4 linked regions of the Caenorhabditis elegans genome follow. The protein of the gene in region 3 interacts with the protein of the main gene of each other region in a pairwise test. Each region holds a gene or a part of one and is shown on either strand. Other genes may lie near its edges. The genes, in order: F52H2.5, nadk-1, nrfl-1 and spl-1.

Evidence for each region.
Region 1: the proteins of nrfl-1 (region 3) and F52H2.5 interact in a two-hybrid assay, tested with the Caenorhabditis elegans proteins (one large-scale study listed by BioGRID).
Region 2: the proteins of nrfl-1 (region 3) and nadk-1 interact in a two-hybrid assay, tested with the Caenorhabditis elegans proteins (one large-scale study listed by BioGRID).
Region 4: the proteins of nrfl-1 (region 3) and spl-1 interact in a two-hybrid assay, tested with the Caenorhabditis elegans proteins (one large-scale study listed by BioGRID).

What each region holds. Positions count from the first base shown.
Region 1 is NC_003284.9:2,557,467-2,561,152, reverse strand, and holds F52H2.5 (Peptidase_M10 domain-containing protein), read left to right. Parts: upstream 1-1,607; 5' UTR 1,608-1,644; intron 1,645-1,726; 5' UTR 1,727-1,747; coding exon 1,748-1,859; intron 1,860-1,909; coding exon 1,910-2,015; intron 2,016-2,065; coding exon 2,066-2,285; intron 2,286-2,343; coding exon 2,344-2,582; intron 2,583-2,932; coding exon 2,933-3,107; 3' UTR 3,108-3,177; downstream 3,178-3,686. Other genes in the region: Delta(24)-sterol reductase homolog dhcr-24, read left to right, coding at 238-613, 657-835, 881-1,034; aat-3 (Large neutral amino acids transporter small subunit 1), read right to left, coding at 3,678-3,686.
Region 2 is NC_003282.8:1,455,352-1,460,028, forward strand, and holds nadk-1 (NAD(+) kinase), read left to right. Parts: upstream 1-1,723; 5' UTR 1,724-1,732; coding exon 1,733-1,828; intron 1,829-1,875; coding exon 1,876-1,964; intron 1,965-2,871; coding exon 2,872-3,590; intron 3,591-3,803; coding exon 3,804-4,012; 3' UTR 4,013-4,170; downstream 4,171-4,677. Other genes in the region: col-106 (Nematode cuticle collagen N-terminal domain-containing protein), read right to left, coding at 4,545-4,677.
Region 3 is NC_003282.8:9,119,571-9,124,375, reverse strand, and holds the start of nrfl-1 (Na(+)/H(+) exchange regulatory cofactor-like protein nrfl-1), read right to left. Parts: upstream 3,005-4,805; 5' UTR 2,896-3,004; coding exon 2,116-2,895; intron 1,099-2,115; exon of another isoform or gene 698-1,098; intron 572-697; exon of another isoform or gene 500-571; intron 1-499. UniProt on the Caenorhabditis elegans protein: Scaffold protein that connects plasma membrane proteins with members of the ezrin/moesin/radixin family and thereby helps to link them to the actin cytoskeleton and to regulate their surface expression.
Region 4 is NC_003282.8:379,337-384,882, forward strand, and holds spl-1 (Sphingosine-1-phosphate lyase), read right to left. Parts: upstream 3,850-5,546; 5' UTR 3,844-3,849; coding exon 3,770-3,843; intron 3,716-3,769; coding exon 3,605-3,715; intron 3,557-3,604; coding exon 3,420-3,556; intron 3,370-3,419; coding exon 3,221-3,369; intron 2,267-3,220; coding exon 2,088-2,266; intron 2,041-2,087; coding exon 1,797-2,040; intron 1,596-1,796; coding exon 1,449-1,595; intron 1,400-1,448; coding exon 1,279-1,399; intron 1,230-1,278; coding exon 965-1,229; intron 914-964; coding exon 682-913; 3' UTR 549-681; downstream 1-548.

The sequences.
Region 1 (3,686 bases), on a different chromosome or scaffold from region 3:
AGTTTGAAAAGTATTCATTTAAAAAAATGTTTTTTGTTTATCGTCAAAAAAAGTTGTTTAGTTTTTTAAACGAATGTTTTCAAAGTGGCTAGGTTAATTTGAGAAACTTTTTGAAACTATCGTCAAATGAAAGATTATAGTGATTGACATAAATTTCCGCAATTTCAAAAAAAAATCTATATGCAATAAGACGCATTCTCACCCCAAATATTTTCAAACTTTCACAATAAATTTCAGATTTTCTGATGGCCCAGACACTCACGATGAAGTCGTCAACCCAATTGGAAGGTGGTACAAAAAATGGTTCTACACTCACGTTGAAGATTTGATCAATAAAAAGCACGAATCCATTGAGTACATTCCACTCCGTGACTACTACCATCGTCACTCAAAGAGCATTTTCTGGGAGCTCAGAGACATCGTCCCATTCGGAAACAATGTCCTGTTTCGTTACTTGATGGCTTGGATGTGCCCCCCAAAGATTGCATTTTTAAAGGCAACAACTCCAAACGTTTTAAGAAAGCTGTACGATCGTAGTCATGTTTTGCAAGATATGCTTGTACCACTGGATAAGTTGGAAGAGTGCATCGATCTTTTTCACAAAGAAGTCGAAGTACGTTTTTCAGATTTTCCATATTTTCTAGCATTGTTTCCAGATCTATCCAATGTGGTTGTGCCCATTCTACTTGAAATCCCAACCAGGTCTCATGAAATTGAGAAATGCTACTCACAAGATGTACGTGGATGTTGGAGCGTATGGAGTAACATCCAAGGATGGTTATCATCACGAGAGAACAACACGGCGACTGGAATCGTTTGTTCGATCAGTCAATGGGTAAAATTTGCCTATAAATTATCACTTTAATAATTTATCGTTCAGATTCCAAATGACATATGCCGACATTTACATGACACGAGCTGAGTACGCTGAAATGTTTGACAGAACACTCTATGATTGGAAAAGAGCATCTTGCAAATGTATCGATGCGTTCCCAGATATTTACGATAAAATTTGCAGAAGTGGAAGGCGTTAAAATTTTTTATTTAAAGGTGGACTATGCGAGAAATGATTAAAAATTAATCCTATGATGTTAAAATGACCAAATATCATTTTTAAAAAAGTTTAAAAGGTTTCACGTTTTGATAAGACATGAAAAATTTTCCAAAACTTTTATTCTGCTATTTGGTGATTTTTGCACAATATCAATGAGGCTTAATCACTTCTACATTGTTCGCAGTTCACTTTTTTGAATTGATAGTCATTGCTCGATTGTTTTTCTCATCTCAATTACTTCATTGTACTGCTTAAATTTTATCATTTTACAGGCTCAATTTTCAGAAACGGCGTACAATTTTTGTTGGTCTTCATTTTCATAAGTTTACAAATCAATTAATTTAACTAAATACATTACCATGCAGAATAAATTTAAAAACAAATTTTTTTAAAAGTTTTTTTTTGAACTGTTATTTCACTTTTTTTCCCCATTTTGTTTTATAACTGCGTGTCTGCACACAATCGGGACCTCCACCCTCTCTGCCGACGCGCAAGTGTTACTGACCCACATTTAGTTTTCTTGGCGCGTTTCTTGTTTTGAATGTTGAACAGTGTTCGAGTACCTCTGTTTTTTCGTTTCAACCTCATTTGTGAGTTACTTTTTATTTCAATTTAGTTAAATAATTAATATCTACTTTGTTTTCGCAGAGTTGTCAATTCAGAAAATTTCAGACACTTCTACGGGTTGAAAAAATGTCGGACGGGTTAATTGACAAACCAAAACTTTTTGTTCAAGGAATGTTCGTGACAAGTACCTCTGGAGAAACTGCTGATGAGACAACAATGTCGAAAATTGACAATATCAGTGAGTTATTTTACAAATGTATTTTTTTCTGTTAAGACTAATTTTTACAGTTACGTATGGTCTCCAGGCAATCGAACATTTCCTAGAAAAAAACGATGGGCAGACTGAGCACTCAAAGTTAGAATACAAACGTGTTGTAGCTGACAAAGAAGTTGAGTACGTTATTATTAGAATTTGGATGAAACTGTTAAGAATTCATTTTTCAGGTGCAATCCAGATGGTGTGAAAATTGTGATTTTCGTGGAAGACATCGAGGTTCCCGCCAAACTGACTGCATTCGCCAATGGTAATCGAGCTGAGATCCACATTCCGAAGAGCAAAATTGACGAACTTTCCGAAGAGACAAATATCGATAAGCTACCAGCTAACGAAAAAGCAGCGTTTGAAATGCTTCTTAATCATTTTCTTCATGAGATGATGCATATGGTGAGTTTTTTCAAATCTTACTATTCTGATCATTTGGTTTAAATGAAAACTTTCCCAGTTTGGAGCTTTCCATTCTGATGTTGGAATCATGTCCGGAGTCATCCAGTTGTTCAATGAAGAAAATCGTATTGACTTGGCCATTTTGTTAGATGATCACTCTGCTCGAATTGTTTCTGAAACCCTTATTGGTCAAGTGCTCCCAGATCCACCAGTTGCAACATTTGTGTATGATGAGAAAGACAGATCGCTGAAATTCGAAAGCAGTGCAGGATTCCACACAGTCATGTTTCTGAACAAGTGAGTTTTTAGTGAAACTTTTCGAAAAATATTGGATTTTTTCAAAAAGTGGCAATTATTGAGTTTTTGCCACTTTTTGAAAAAACTAGAGCACTATCGTATGTTCGATTCCCTGATAATTTTTGAAACACACGTAAGTAGATAATAAAAACGGTATTTTTTTCAAATCGACGGCTTTAAAAAAGTGGAAAACGGAGTTTTTTCCGAATTTCAAAAACTCATATAAAATTTATCACTTTTTTTGAATTTTTAAGTATGAGATTTAGGTCATTATAGGCATTTTTAAAGGCAATTTTCGCTACTCCACCTTCAAAATATTTTTGCTCATTTTCAATAAATTTAAATTTCAGCTCCTACTACACAAATCGATTCTACTATTCCGTTGATATGAATTTTGAATGCATTGTTCCAAAAGATTCGGATTGGGATTCGCTTCTTGTTCAATTTGTCTATGGAGCATCGTTATTCTACAAAAAATCGTCCATTTACAACAATTGTGACTATGACCGCATTCGTCGCCGCTGAGCCAAAAACTACGTTTTAATTTATTTTTCACATGTAAAAACATAATTTTAGACACATAAACCATTTTAACAATTTCCAACTAATTAACCAGGGGTCTGAAAAAAAGAGGCGTTGAGCACCCGCATCTGGAGCAAGTAAAACGTTCCAGAACAATCTAACTTAGATTTTAAACTAAAAATTAGGTTCTAAACATATTCTACTGTTTGTGAAAACCTGTAACTCCGTGGAAAAAAATCTAACAATAAGTAAAAACCTTGTAAATTGCAATTCAACAACTTTCAGGAAAACCGATTATTAGCCAGAATATGTAGAAGTGTTTGAAGTGAGAATATATTTATTATGCCAAAATAATTATGGTTTTTCGCATTTCTACTTGTACGAATTGTCATTGTATTCTTTTATATCGGCGGCAAAATACTGTAAAATTGGGGGGAGGGGGGGGGGGGAAATAATATAGTTGAGATCAGTTTTTCTCGAACTTTAGTAAATAAAAGAAAACAACGAAAACTAAATTGGTGGTAACTGGGGATTGTGAGCGCCGAGAACTGAGAGCTACAAGTTTTTATGACACTATTCCTC
Region 2 (4,677 bases), 7.7 Mb from region 3:
AAAAACTCCGAATTTCCCCCATTCTCACCCATTTCTCTAGTCGGACACAAAATTTTGTGGTCTCCCGTGCTCTATAGTTTTTGGTCATTGGTCACATCGTATGTTTCGAAATCATCGCCGCTGTTTTTGTTTTGAAAATTGATTTTCAACGAATTCTCTTTGGTTCTCCCAGCATAGAAAACGGTCATTTTTCTTTTTTTTTAATTGCCGAAGAAAAAAATATAATGGAATCAGTGGAGGCGCAGACTGTTAGAAAGCATTTGCACTGTTTATTGAACGGTTTGGCGCCCGTTACTCAGTGGAAGTGAGTGGTATCAAAAAATGCGTTCGGTTGCATTTATAGTTTTATGAGATGAATATTTTGTAATTTAACAATTTTGTGATAAATTTACTTTTCGACGAGGTATAGAGGTTTTAGCACAAGCTGAATCCCGCAGCCTTTTAAAATCAAATTCTCATAACGTATTTTTACTTTTAACTCCTTTTAACTCCTTCGAAGTAAAAGTTATTCAACAGTTGTTAACTTGAGCATGTAGTGTTTTTTTAAGGCGGCTATAACTCAGCGGAGGTTAATGCTATGAAAAAGATGAAAATTACAAAAATGTTCAGTTTTATGTGGTAAATAATCTTTTAATGAACAATTTTGCGACAAATCAACTATTCGACAAGATACGGAGGGTGCTAGCTTCAGCCATTGGCACCCTACTTCTCACCACTAAACCTTTATGCTCCTGTAACTCAGCGGAGGGTAGTTTTATGAAAAAGTTCACAATTACAAAAATGTTCAGTTTTATGTGGTAAATAATTTGTTAGTTAACAATTTTAGGATAAATTTATTCTCCGAGGAGATACAAGGGCAGAAATTTCAGTAGCTCTCTTCATCGGCTCCCTTGCCGCTTCACCACCAAACTTTAGGCGCCTGTAACTAAACGGAGGTTACTGTTATGAAAAAGTTGCAAATTACAAAAATGTACAGTTTTATGTGATAAATAAATTGCTAGTTTAACAGTTTTTTGATAAATCCACTTTCCAACAAATTACAACGATTTCTAGTCTTCGACACTACTGCTCACCCTTCACCACTGAACCTCCAGGCGTCTGTAACTCCGCGGAGGTGAACTCCATTAAAAAGTTGCCAACTACGAAAATACGCAACTTTTAAAGTTCTATATTTTATTAGTTGGCATATTTTTGATAACTCCTCTACTCGTAGAGATATCACAGCTTAAACTTATACTCCTTATACTCCAGCCGATCAAAACACCATTTTTTCCAAAAAATTCCATCATGGCGTCAAGTATCATTTCAACACCATTTATTTACTTTGTGTCAATTCTCAATTCTCAACTTTCAATTTCTCCTCAAAAATCAAACATTGCGAGCACATCTGAGCACGAGGGGAACAAACCACCACCTCCCACACAATTTCTATTGTTGTAGCCTACCGGAACGGTGGGCGGCGCCCAGACGTTCGGAAGGCGGAGCCCCGTTTATTTATAAATCGGGAAAAATTTTTGAAATTTTGAAATTTTGGAAATTTGAAAATAATGGTGCCATTTGTGTTGATTTTTTGGCGAATTCTCGAATGACTTTTCGTGTGTGATGAGGCGGCTGAAAAAAAAACTAACTGATAAGCTTTTCTATCATATTTTAACCTTTTCTCTCTCTCTTTTTTGATTCCATTAAATATCCATTTCCAATTTCTAATAATTTATAATTCCAGCCGTCCATCATGGCCGCTTTGGCAATTTCTCACTGCGTGAGCCACGTGGCGCGCCCAGTTTCTCCGGTAACACAAGGAAAACCGAGCGGAAGCAGACAGCAGCCGGTGAGCCAAATTTCGATTTTAAGCCTTGTTTTGGAGCAAATTTTTAGGCGATCCGGTTTGCGTTGATCCTTCGAAAGAGCACACGATGGCAATGGGAGAAGGAGCAGACGGGCTTGAGCGATGCTGATCTGAAAAAGTGAGTTTTACAACCAAAGCTGCTCGTCGATGCATCACGTTTTGCATCTCCACTTTGAAAGCTCATATCTTTGTTCATTTTTAAGATACTATAGGCACATAGCTAAAAATAATTTTATTAGTTGACAGTTTTCTTTTAAAACCAAATACAACGAGATAAAAACTGTGGAAGCTGGTTCTAGTCATTGCACCATGTCTCACGCCATTTCTAAAGCTTGTAACTTTGTTCATCTTTTAGATACTAAAAAATTGAAACTGCAATAATGTATGTCCATGTCTTCCTCCACATTCAGAGTCCATATCTTTGTTCATTTTATAGGTAGTAAAAAGTAAAAAATTTTTAACTACAAAACTGTAGAAAATCAAATATTTAAATATTTTGTCAGAAAGCAACTTTTCGATAAACCCAAAGCCAAATGAGATATAAGCTATCAAAGCTGGTTCCGGTCGATGCACCATGTCTCAAGCCACTTCTAAAGCTTGTAGCTTTGTTCATCTTTTAGGTACTCAAACAATTGTTATTACAAAATAGTAGAAAAACATATATTTCATATTTCGCCTGTGAGCAACTTTTTGATAACGCTAAAACAGACAGAGATATGAGCTACCAAAGAAGATAATTTTCGGTCGATGCACCATGTCTTAAAGTTCATATTCAATAGGTTGTTTCCTGAATTTAATTTTAATAACATTAACACTATATAAAATATGTATAAGGTGTCCGGTCGATGCACCATGTTTTGCTTCACCTATATCCTATCATACAGAAATTTGGAAAATTATATTTAGGCTAAAAACCGAAACTGTGTATTTTTCCCATGGTGTCTGCAATTGACAAAAGTCTACTGACCTCATTTGAATGTAAAAATGTCTATCAGGCTATATTCCCAGCTACTAAATCTTTTCAGGCACCTCTCCTCAAAAGGCACCAAGGTTCAAGAGCTCCTCGAAAACGAGAAGAAACAAGTAAACGCAGTGCAGGAAATTGTCTCCGAACTTGGCAAAGCAGGCATCTCCACAAAAGTTGTGACTCGCGAGCAGCTAGCCCAGTACCTGCCTGAAGCTGATCTGGTGATCTCTGCCGGTGGTGATGGAACCTTCTTGGCTGCAGCTTCCGTGGTCAACGACAACACCCCAATCATCGGTATCAACACTGACCCGATCGGAAGTGAAGGACACCTGTGTGTCGGTGGCAAGAATCCACCTCGCGATTTGATCGAGCGTCTGGTCTCTGGAAACTTGAAGTGGGTGCAGAGGACGAGGATACGGGTAACAGTAAAGGAATCCCGGAACTCGATTTTCTCATTGAAGAGGTCTGAAAAATCAACAAACCTCGCCCTGAACGAGGTGTTCATCGGAGAGGATGAAGCCGCCAAAGTCTCAACCTACAATATTTCCATCGACGATTCGCAGACAGTCAAGCAAAAGTCCTCCGGGTTGATTGTGTCGACTGGGACCGGATCGACGAGTTGGTACCTCGGAATGAACAGGATCGATGAGAATGCGACGACGTCAGTGTTGGAGGCACTGCAATCACTTGGCGTGGATGTGCCGATCACAAGGAATTTGGTGGAGAAGGTGGTGAATTCGGTGAATGAGAAGATCCCGTTCGAGCCAGATCATCCTAGTGAGTTTTTTGAAAGTTGATTGGAATTTGGGTTTGTTGAGTTGGAAACAAAATGTCAGGGGTATTTTTGATTACACAATTCCAAATATAAGACCCTGCACAGACATGGAAAAGGACTGAGAAAAGGACCCCATGGCTGGCCTCATCGTCAGGCTTCAGAAAACTCAAATTTGAGAATTTCTCATTATCTCACTTTCACTTTTAACTTTCCAGGTTTCGCCTTCTCAATCCGTGAGCCGATCTTCAACGCCACCTACAAACGCACGGCGACCCGCGGATTCGCCAGAAAGATCAAACTCGAATCCCGATGCACCAACGGATACCTGGTCCTTGACGGATCCACAAAGATCCCGTTCCCACGTGGCGCCGTCGCCACGATCGAGGTCAATCCGAATGATGCTTTGAAAACTGTGATTGTGTAACAATGATTTTGTGTGTATTGTTTTTATTGTACGGGTTTTCGGGTTGTCGTTTTTTTTGTGAATTATGAATTCGTAATTGTACATAGATTTTATACGATTTTATGTGATACATCAATTTGAAATTTGAAATTAAAAAAAAATAAATTCATTACTTTTTCATAACTGTATAAAATGGTCTCAAAAATGTGCTTCAAATGCACATTTTCTCAAAATTTCAGAGATCCATCGTTGCGAGATCCTTTGTCGTGGTGAGACCCCCCGTGGTGAGATCCCCGCAGTGCGATCTATCGTGGCGAGACCTATCGTAGCGGGACCCATCGAGGCCAGACCCTCCGTGGTGAGACCCATTGCAGTGAGACCCTTCGTGGTAAGACCCATTGTGGCGAGACTCCCTGTGCTGAGACCTCGTTCAGTGCTGATAATCTGATATGAAAAATCTGAAACCATACAAGCTGAAGTCATTTCGCAACCCCAGAAACTAAAAAAACCACAAAAACCATTTGAAATGCGACATTCTTTATTAAAAAGCTCTCTAATGAGTCTTGTAGATCTGCTCTGCCTGCGATGGCGCTGCCTCGACAGCCACCGATCTCGTTGGGCATGGACAGTAGGCAGCGTCTCCACCTGGCGCGGCATCCTCTCCCGGTGCTCCATCGGATCCATCG
Region 3 (4,805 bases):
TATTCTTTCGAATAAAAGTGAATATAAAAAACAAGTCCCAAAAATATCGGATTACAAGATGCGTTTCAATGTTGGGAAATGCCAAGAAATAAAATTCAAGTTTTGTGAAAGTTTTCCGACAAGTTATTTGTATTTCTAACATGTTCCGAAACCACAAAACATTTTATGAGATTCAAAGTTTGTTTGAAGGAAAAGAATATTGAACATACAACGTTTGATGAATGTGTACTTTTTGAAGAAAATTAGTAAAATACTTGAGAAAGTGTCTAAACATGACAAATGACAAGAATGGGAGAAGATTGTTGGTTTTTTGTAAAAATTAATAGAATTGGAATGTTGCAATCTTTTAGTGAAGCAAGATATTCCAATGCGTCATGCTTCGTTAACTATCTTTCTATTGAATGAGAGAGAGAGCACGAGACACAGACAGATTGAAATAAAGACATGGCAGGTGGAGGATAAAAAACAATTGGAAGAAGGTGTCTAATGGAGGACCAATTAGATATATTCAAATGAAGGTCATTTATTAAAGGACAAAGAAACGAAGAGGAAGATTTGTAACGAATGATAGGTAAGTGGAATTGTTGCGGATTACTGTAGTCAGACAACTTTTTTGAATTTGGTTCTCTCTGAGAATATGGCTTACGAACAAGATTTCTTAAAGGAGTAAAAAATTTTAATCGATTTTCCATTTTAGAATTTTCGAATGTTTCATCGAGTTGTAATATACTGTTAAACACTGGAATGCTGGTAACTCGTTAGTCTTCCAAAACTATTTCTGTTTCATCATATTTTTAATTATGTCACAATTTATTGAAGTGTTAATTGTCAAAAATAATAACCTATTTATTGATTAATTTACACTCCTCTTTGAGTTGTTTTTCTACACTCATTTCAATCTTCCTAACATTGAACTGTGCAAATTTCCAGTCCGCCAGTCTTCCAATATTTATGTTATTTTCCGTATCAATACCTCATAAATCTATCTGCTATCATATCTCTGTATCCCATTTTCTCATTTAATTTACAGTTCCTCTTCCAACTTTCTAATGTCTCAATTTTGATCATAAATCATCATTTTGTTCTGTTTCTCTCGCACTAAACATATTTTTTTATTACTTGTCTTCTTCATTGTCATTTTCTTCTCAATAAAAAATGATCTACCTTCTCTCTCCTTTCTTGCCAATGCCACAACACACATTTAACAAAACATACATAAGCTTCAAGAGGCTGAATGAGAGAGTGCGTAGAGTGCAGACACAGTTTTAACAGTTTTCTCGTATGTTTGCGGTTTACTTGGCAAGTTGGCAAAATTTTTGGAAATGTATGCAAGAGAAGATGGAGGAAAGATGAGTCAGAAATATGAAGAAGAGGAAATGATACTCGTATTTATATGAAAATGAAATTCTTTTTGGAGAAAATGGAAATATTGAAGAAAAAAGTTGAAGAGGATGACGAATACCTCAACAAATGTTGGAATAGTTTATAAAACATAGTACCCAATTGATAGTTTGGCGAAGTTGGTCTCTAATCAATTTAAAGAAAAAATACTGAAATCCTTATCAAATTGTTTTTGAAGAATTTGGGTAAGGATAGGCACGCGTACCAGTATGGGAAAGATGAAAAACAAAGAAAAGAAACCAGTTGAAATACCATTTCAATTAATTCTACGGTGTGCATTTTATCTGAAATGCTGTAAAACAAGTTGAGATTTCACGTTTTAAAGAAGTATGGTTTTATGATGAATTATAGCCCAAACCAAAAAATGTGTAATTTAAATTTTTAAATTTTGAATAAACAGGAACAATTGTCAGCAAAAAATTTGGATCAACTTTGGTCCGTAAAATATAATTTTCCATCGTTTCTTTGGAGCTATCGGTTCATTTTAAAGACAGTTGCTGACATCAACAAAATTATTAACTAAAAAATTATAGTAAAATAGATTATAAGTAGAAAGTTGTCAAATTATAATAAAATCAATGAAAAATCAGTTATGAGCTGCCTACAGTAAGGGGGTGCAATACTAATAGATAATTCTCTAACTTTTAAATTTATAATTGTTAGAAAGAAGTTTTATTTTTGAGTCGATATTTCAAAATCACAACGTGTGCTCACCCGACTCCTAGATTCCAATGATTCAATACTCCTTACAGATCCATCTTTGAAGATTCCGTTCCTTTTTCGTGAGGTCCTCTCGTCTTCTTCTTCTGATCTTATAACTTCATCAAATTGTCTCATCACATCCCGTTGCTCCGCATCCATCCAATCACTCATTCTAGTTCTTTTGATTCGAATTGATTCAGTTTTCCAATCAAGTTTCGGAACTCGCAGCAACACGTGGCTACCAGATGGAACGATAGCAATGAGTTCAGATGGGCGGATGGTAGAAGCGTCGGAGATCGTTGATGATGCACGTGAAGGTGCACGGAAAGATACAGTCGATGATGTGGTGGTAGTGGTGGAAGAAGCAGATGATGAGGGTTTCTTCAATTTCTTTAGCAACGTCAAAGACTTTTGTCTTGAGAGAGTAGAGACGTAGGCTGGAGAACAAGTCCTCTGAGACGAATGAGGTGTTAGACAGTTGTTGCAATAGACGAACGACGAAGAGGGAGGCAATAATGATGAATCCTTTGGCGCTGGGTCCCCTAGACCCGCTACTTGTCTAACTGTCTGCGTAGCATCTCCTCGTGTTACTATCTCAGTGCGCGGAATACCTGCGTCTCTGGTGATCTGCTCCGTTGATTTGTCATCGGTAATCCGTTGTGGTTGTGGGAGATGTGGTAGATGCGAGGAGATCAACCACAAATAGTACACGAAAGAGGTGTAGAGATACGAAATCCACGTGATTGGGTTTTTCCAATCTATTCTTTCTGGTTCAGATGGATTGCGATCCATGTTTGAAGAAGGCAATATGCAGATTTAGAATTGAAATTTCTTAGCTGAGAATAAGAGTTGAGAATACTGTAGTGATGTGCCGAAGAGCCAAGGAATGTGAATCAAACAAAAGTGCCTTTTTGGTATTCCTTTGTTTGTCAAGATATATAACTTTTTTGTCCCTCTTCGTGCCTCAATGCATAGAATATGTATGGTTTGGCCCATAAATTCTTTGCCCCGTCTTTTTCCATCTTCTTCATATTTTTATTGAATATTAACATACAAAACAGGCACACACACACAAAACCAACGCTATTGTGTCGTCCGTTTCTTCATCGATTCGAGAATCATCGAAAAGTTGTTCCGTTTGAAGAATAATGGTTGAGAACGTCTTGGAGTGCATGGAGAATCAGATTGTAAATCAAAAATTGGAGGAGAGAAAGTACAAGTGGATGACTAGAAATGATGTCTTAGCAATACTTAGATATTACAAGGAACTTAGAAAAGTTTACAAAACTTTTGCAATAAATCAAATATTTTTATGGAGTTCTAAAGAAAAGTTTTAATCAGATTTCAATCGCCTAAACTATATAAAGCATCATCGAATGACAGAATATGTGCATTACAATTTCAAGATAGTCTCCAAACCAACCACGGGTTTTCCTTAATGAGGAAACATTTTTTGTGCGGAAAAGGCAATTCCCGAATTTTTGAAATTTATGAATAAGTCTTTTAACTATTTATGAAACAGAAAAAAATTATTCAATTTTTTTGCAAGAATTTTTATTTCCATTTCTTCATTTGAGATCGGATATTGTATAACTTTTTAAAAATTTCAGTTCTAAAATTGCATAGCCATTAATAATGTTAATTCCAATTTCCCCAGGTTCAATTACCAATTTTTAATTTTCATTGTTCCTATAACTTTCATCTAAAATGACGTCATTTCTTGTCTATCGACTCCCTGTCTATCTACCTCGAAATATTTGTCAATCCTTTTTTAGTGTGAGAACATATGAAAATGACGCATAAAAATGGTTCAGTGTGACTCAGTAGATATACGAAGTTCGGTTGATCAAGTGCAACTAGAGGTGTCAAATAAACAAATGATGCTCAATGAGCAACTACAGCTATACTATTTGATATTCGATACTGTTTGAAAATTACAAAATAACAATGAGGAATAAACAAAGTGGAGAAAGGAGAAAATTATGTGAAAAGGCAAAAAGACTGACCTGTGAATATGACGTGGGTGCGTACCACGAACTTGGCGGGGGAGAATTGTTGGACGGATGACAGGAGTTCCTCTGACAATTGGTAACATAAGGGATTTTAGGCGCAACAAAGGGAAATAAGACAAATGGAAAATGTTTCTAATTTTACTGTCAAAAACGAATATTGCATTCTTCACGACAATGAAGACTTTTTTATCTTACATGTTAAAAATTTTAGAATTTAAAATAAAGTTAGGAGAATGAGAAAAGTCACACAAAATTGTTTTTTTTAATTTTGTAAAGATAAAATCTACATTTTGACTAACCATTGGAGAAACTCGTTCGATATTTGGAAGGTCCAATGTGATTTGAACATTATTTTCATTGTACCACTTAGCTCCTTCTTCAGAGATCACAAGCATTTCACATCGATTTGGATTTGCTTTTATGCGCTCAACCACCTTCTTGTGATTTTCTCCAATAATCGAGTGACCATTGACAGCAAAGATTCGGTCACCAGTGATTAATCCTCCTCTGAAAATATTTAAACAATTGGTAAAATAGAAACAAAAATTGCAGTTTCTTCTCCGACAATGCCAATACTTTAAAATATTCTACAATTTTCAGAGCTGACCAGAGAAAATGGACTAACTGTGAAAGCCTTCATAGCATTTTAGTATTGAGAGATTTTTGAAACTCAATAATTTATTATTGGTT
Region 4 (5,546 bases), 8.7 Mb from region 3:
TTCTAGGTGTGCTATTGATAAGTTCATTTTCAATATAAATTCCTTTTAAATACAGAGAAACAACGAAACTCATAAAAATAGAATAAAATTGTCAAAGGTTTCGATATTTCTGCCAATTTTGTACGGAAATTTTGATCATTCCTGTTCAAAAATGGTGAACCTCTATGATTTTCCGTCTGAAAATCACGAAATTCCAAGCTTCTTCAACTAATTACTCAAATCAGGGGAGAAATTACCCCACAACCTCCGAATAGCAGACTTACAACTGAATTTCTGTATTTTTTGACTCAATTAAATGAAAACATTTTTTTTTACACAGAAAAATGCAATTTCAATCGAAAAAACGAAAAATTCTGTTCAAAAACAAAGAAATCCCAAAAAATGAGAACTCAAAAAGATGTAAATAAACAAGAATATTCAAACTGCCGCCACCAATTGGCGTATCGTGGCGAGACCCTTTCAAGTAAAGTGACGCGCCTTTAATTAGAGTTTTAATTTTAATTTGAGAAAACATTCGGTTTTTATCCGTTTTTCAGCTAGATCTTGACAATTAATTCGTTATAATTGGTATATATATTTATTTACTACAGAAAAAAATCACAGAATAGTATATATTTATTTACTACAAAAAAAATCACAGATATATTGGTGCAAATAGAGAAAATTCAATGGAAAAAGTAATTAATTAGAAGTTGAAGGTGGAGCTGAATAAGTTGCGTCAATGTACAGAGCGATAACCTCGTCCACTACTGATTTTGGTACTTGCGCAGCCATTCCATACATCGCAGCCATTCCACTGTCAGCTTTTTGTTCACCTTTTGCAGCGAGTTCTTCACAAATCTTCTCAAGGTCGACGGCGAACGCATTCACAACTTCCTCGTTCGCTTGATTGATTGTCAAACAAATGTGGATTCTGAAACAAAAAATTTAGCAAGCTGATAACTCATAAAATTGATAAACATACGCCGCTGGATTCTGCAGAGTGTTCAAATTCCATCCGAGCTTCATCATTTTGTCAGAAACTTCGTAGATATTCACACCATTTCCGGAGAACGCCACCAATGAAACATCCGATTTTCCATAAGGCTTGATCCATTTGATTTTCTCAATTTTCTCGGCCAGCATTCGTGTATGCTTCACAATTTGAGCACATCTTCGAACATATTCGTCTCGACCGAAGGATAAAAGTGTGGCCCAGGCGACGGCAGTGTTGGCTCCAGCTCGGGATCCTAAGGGATCTCTTTGATTCTATTGAAGCTACTAAAACATTCTTCAAACCTGCAATAGTCGGGGTGGCATAGATGCCTCCACACCAATCGGCAACCGAGAAATACTGGAAGTGATGAAGTTCCTTGGAACGATACATGACAATCGATGAACCTTTCGGTGTGCATCCGTACTGAAAGATTTTGAATTGAAGGAAAAAAATGGATAGAACTGTATCCAACCTTATGAGTATCACACGAAATAGATGTAACACCGGGATTTCTGAAATCGAATACAGGAATCAGGTATCCGGCGTCATTCATAAATGGAATCATGAATCCACCAAGACATGCGTCCACGTGGACCGGGATTCCATACTTTTTGCCGAGCTGAAAGTGTAAACGTTCGATTAAGTAATCAAAAAAGGCCATTTTTTGGACTAGCATCTGTGAGTTTTTTTAAAAATTATTTTAAGTTAGAAAAAAGTATCGTATTTTTGCTGAATTCAATTAGAGTTCCCGCTCACAATGTAATTTTGTTCAGTCATTTCTCTATTTTTTCCGCGATATTGAGGCGGGAATTTCCAGTACCTTAGCAATTTCCGGAATTGGATCAATTGTGCCTGATGGGAAGTTAGGCGCTGAGCCAACCAACATACAAACATTCGAATCAATTAGTCTCTCCATTTCTTTTAAATCGACACGATTATCCGAATCAACTGGAACGTGGCGAAGACGCATTCCGCATAGATGGGCGGCCTTATCAAATGCCGCGTGAGCTGTTTTACATGCCAAAATAACTGGATGTTCAATGCCAAGAGAGTGTGCACGATTTCTGTAGAGTTTGCAAAATTGAATTTTAAGAGTTGAATAAATGCTTACCGATACGAAAAGCATGCCATAATAATACTTTCAGTACCACCAGAAGTTACACTTCCACTAGAATCTTCTGGTCCATTATACAGGTTCAGAACCATTCGAATAAGTTCTGCCTCCATTTTACGAGCTCCCGGAAAGACGTCAGGGTGGAGGGGATTCGAGAACGCATACTTTTCGTAAATCTGGATATAAAAGATGGCAATTTTTATTTTAAGAAATGTCTAGTTTCAAAATTATTTTCATGTAGCTAATATTTCTTGGCGGAAACCATCCAATTTTCTAGAAATTTCTTGAAAATTGACAAACTAAATGATTTCTAAAACGTCCAAAATTCAATTTTTGAATATCTGAATCGGATTCAAGGCGCATTTTTTTTGTCGACAAGTTCGGCAAATTTTAAATTCCGGCAATATCCCGATTTGCCGTTTGCCGGATATCAGATTTGCCGGAAATGTTTAGAGGGACTATTTAGATGACGGAAACACATAAAACTGTGCCTCTTTGAAATATTTTCCCCGTTTTCTTTAGATATTTTCATATAATTTACTGACTTTTCAAAAAAGATGTTAATAGGGATATTCATAGGATGCGTACAATTTTGCCTGAAATTTCCAGAAAAATGTGCAAAACCACAATTTGCCGAATATTTCTGGCAATCGCCGTTTTTCAGGCAAAGGCAAATCGGCAACTGACCGGTTTGCAGGAAATTTCAATTACCGCAATTTGCCGGTTTGCAGGAAATTTCAATTCAGCCGATTTGCCGGTTTGCCGGAAATTTCAATTCCGGCAATTTGCCGGTTTGCAGGAAATTTCAATTACGGCAATTTGCCGGTTTGCAGGAAATTTCAATTCCGCCAATTCGCCGGTTTGCAGGAAATTTTAATTACGGAAATTTGTCGGTTTGCCGGAAATTTCAATTCCGTCAATTTGCCAACTTGCAGGAAATTTCCATTCCGGCAATTTGCCGATTTGCAGGAAATTTCCATTCCGGCGATTTGCCGATTTGCCGGAAAAAATCGTTTGTCGCCCCTGATCTGAATTGGATTCAAAGCTTCCCTACAGGATATACTATGTAGCTATTTACAAGAGAATATATTTGAGAGCTAAGATTTTGAAAAATTCTAGAATTTCTAAACCTTTCCAAGCAAATTAATGTGTTCAGCATGACGATCAGTATAAACCGCTCCAGATACTCGTCCTCCGTCAATGTTAAATGTGTTGTAATCCTCATATTTTTTCGCCAGTTCCATAATTGAGTCCTGAGATAATGGAGCGATGGGAAGAGCTGAAAAATAGAATTAATGAATTGGTTAATTAATAAATGTTCAAACAAACTGGAAATGAATTGCTTGTCCTTATCATCCTTATGAATCGATTCAATAAGCTTTGGCTTCTCAGCAGCCAGCTCTTTTTCGATTTTATCCCGAACAGCTGGAAGTTTTCGAAGAAGTGAGAATACATAAGCTCCCATGCTGAAAATTTCATTTTGATATTTCTAAAATTCGCAAGAAAACACTTGCCGTTTCAAAATTGGATCCTCGCTTTTTCGGTACAAATGGACGACTTTTGTATAGACAAGGGTACCCCCAAAAGCGGCCAACACTAGAACAACCGGATCATACCGAGAAAGTCTGAAAATCTTGAATTAGTAATTTCCAAATATCTAATTTTTGTTTAAAATTCACCTATCATTTATCATGTGATAGTGCATTTTTGTCAAGTCGACAATAATTTCGGTTGTGTGCTTAACCGAATCCATTGTAACCTGAAAATTAATTTATTGTGGTATTTTTCAAATGAAACCAAGTGTGCGCCTTTAAGGAGTGCTGTAGTTTCGATATATCGCGAACTAATATTTTCTTATTTATACATACCCTTCAAAAACAAAGTGTGAAGAAAAATTACCAAACCACGAGAAACTACTGTGCCACTTAAAGGCGCACACTCCTTTTCAATTGAAATTAGTCGTGGCACACAAACATCAAAATTTGGAAATGAAACCAACTTCACGAAAAAAAACTTTTTTCAGAAACAAAACGGTAAAGTATACTGATAAGAATATGATACGTGGTCATTATCACAAAAATCGAAAAGAAACGAAAAATCATGGATGAATTTATGGGAATTTCTTGGAGAGACACAGAGAAAATTACAAATGTTTGTGCACATGAATGTGCATAGAAACATAGAAAAAGGTACAGGTACAGGGGTACAAAACAGAACAAATAAATAATAGGACATGGCAGAACTTTTGGAAGGAAGTGGAGTAGAAATTTTGCATTAAAATGATTTTAAAAAATTGAATTGTTGATCATCCTCTTCATCCTGTGGTTTATGTTTTCTGAGAATTGCTCCCGGAGCAGGATAGGGTCTTTGTTGGAAAAGTGGTCCACCAGCAGTCACGTCGGCTCCTGTTACGTGATCAACGCGAAGGCCATCCGACCATTTTTCACTGAAATAGGGTAGAAAATCAGATTTTGTTGCTCGAATATTATTCGATTTTGCGTAAAAAACGTGGTTTGCGTTTTTTTGAAGCTATTTCCGAAAATTCAGATGAAAAATTATAATTTTCTGAAGAAAAACTATAAATTTATCTAAAATTAGACCGCTGCAACACGGAAAAGTTGGCGAAATTAGAAAATTTTCAATTTTTGAATCCAATTCTCGAAAATTCCAACTTTTTCGCTTCAGAAACGGAGCGCAGCTTACACTGGAGCGCCTCCATGAGCTCCTGGATCCATTGGATCAATTCCTTTCCTTTTTGCTCTTTTCAGTCGATCCTTATTTGTCATTTCCTGTAACTCGTCTTCATCTGAATCTGGACCCTGTGACGTCATCGGATCACGTCGCTTCCGCTTTTCAGCATTATTGCCACGTGATTGCTTATCATCATTCCCTCCGCGTGAAGTTTTCTTGTTGTGGAAATTTCTGCGGCGAGCGGCATTGTTCTCCTGGAAAAAAAATATATAGTTTTAAAGAATAAATGTTCCGAAATGAGTATTTAAAGGCGCTCGGATCCTTTTGGATGGGAACAACTTTTCCGGCGGTTAGACCCATCCGAGTAAATCTGATAAATCTGTGTGCCTTTAAGTACGATTTCAGCATCTAATTCTACCTCAGATGCGTGAGAATCTCCGAAAAGCACTGTAGCATGCTCTCTGGCGATTCGAGGAGCTGGATCACTAATTATAGCTCGTGGATGACGCGGAGAATACCAACAAACCTGAAAAAATTTTTTTTTAAATCTGGAAATTATTCTGCTACTCACCTCATCTGTTGTTTTATTCCAGAAGTAATACTTCGCAAGTCCCTCATCATAGACTTCAACTCAGTTTTCGTGAAGTAGAAACTTTGCAAGGATTCTGTTCTTATTCTGTACATATCTCTCGGGCAAACTACAAAAAATAGCTATTTTAAAATAATTTTTCTCTAAAATTCAATACAAACCGATATTCCGGAGTT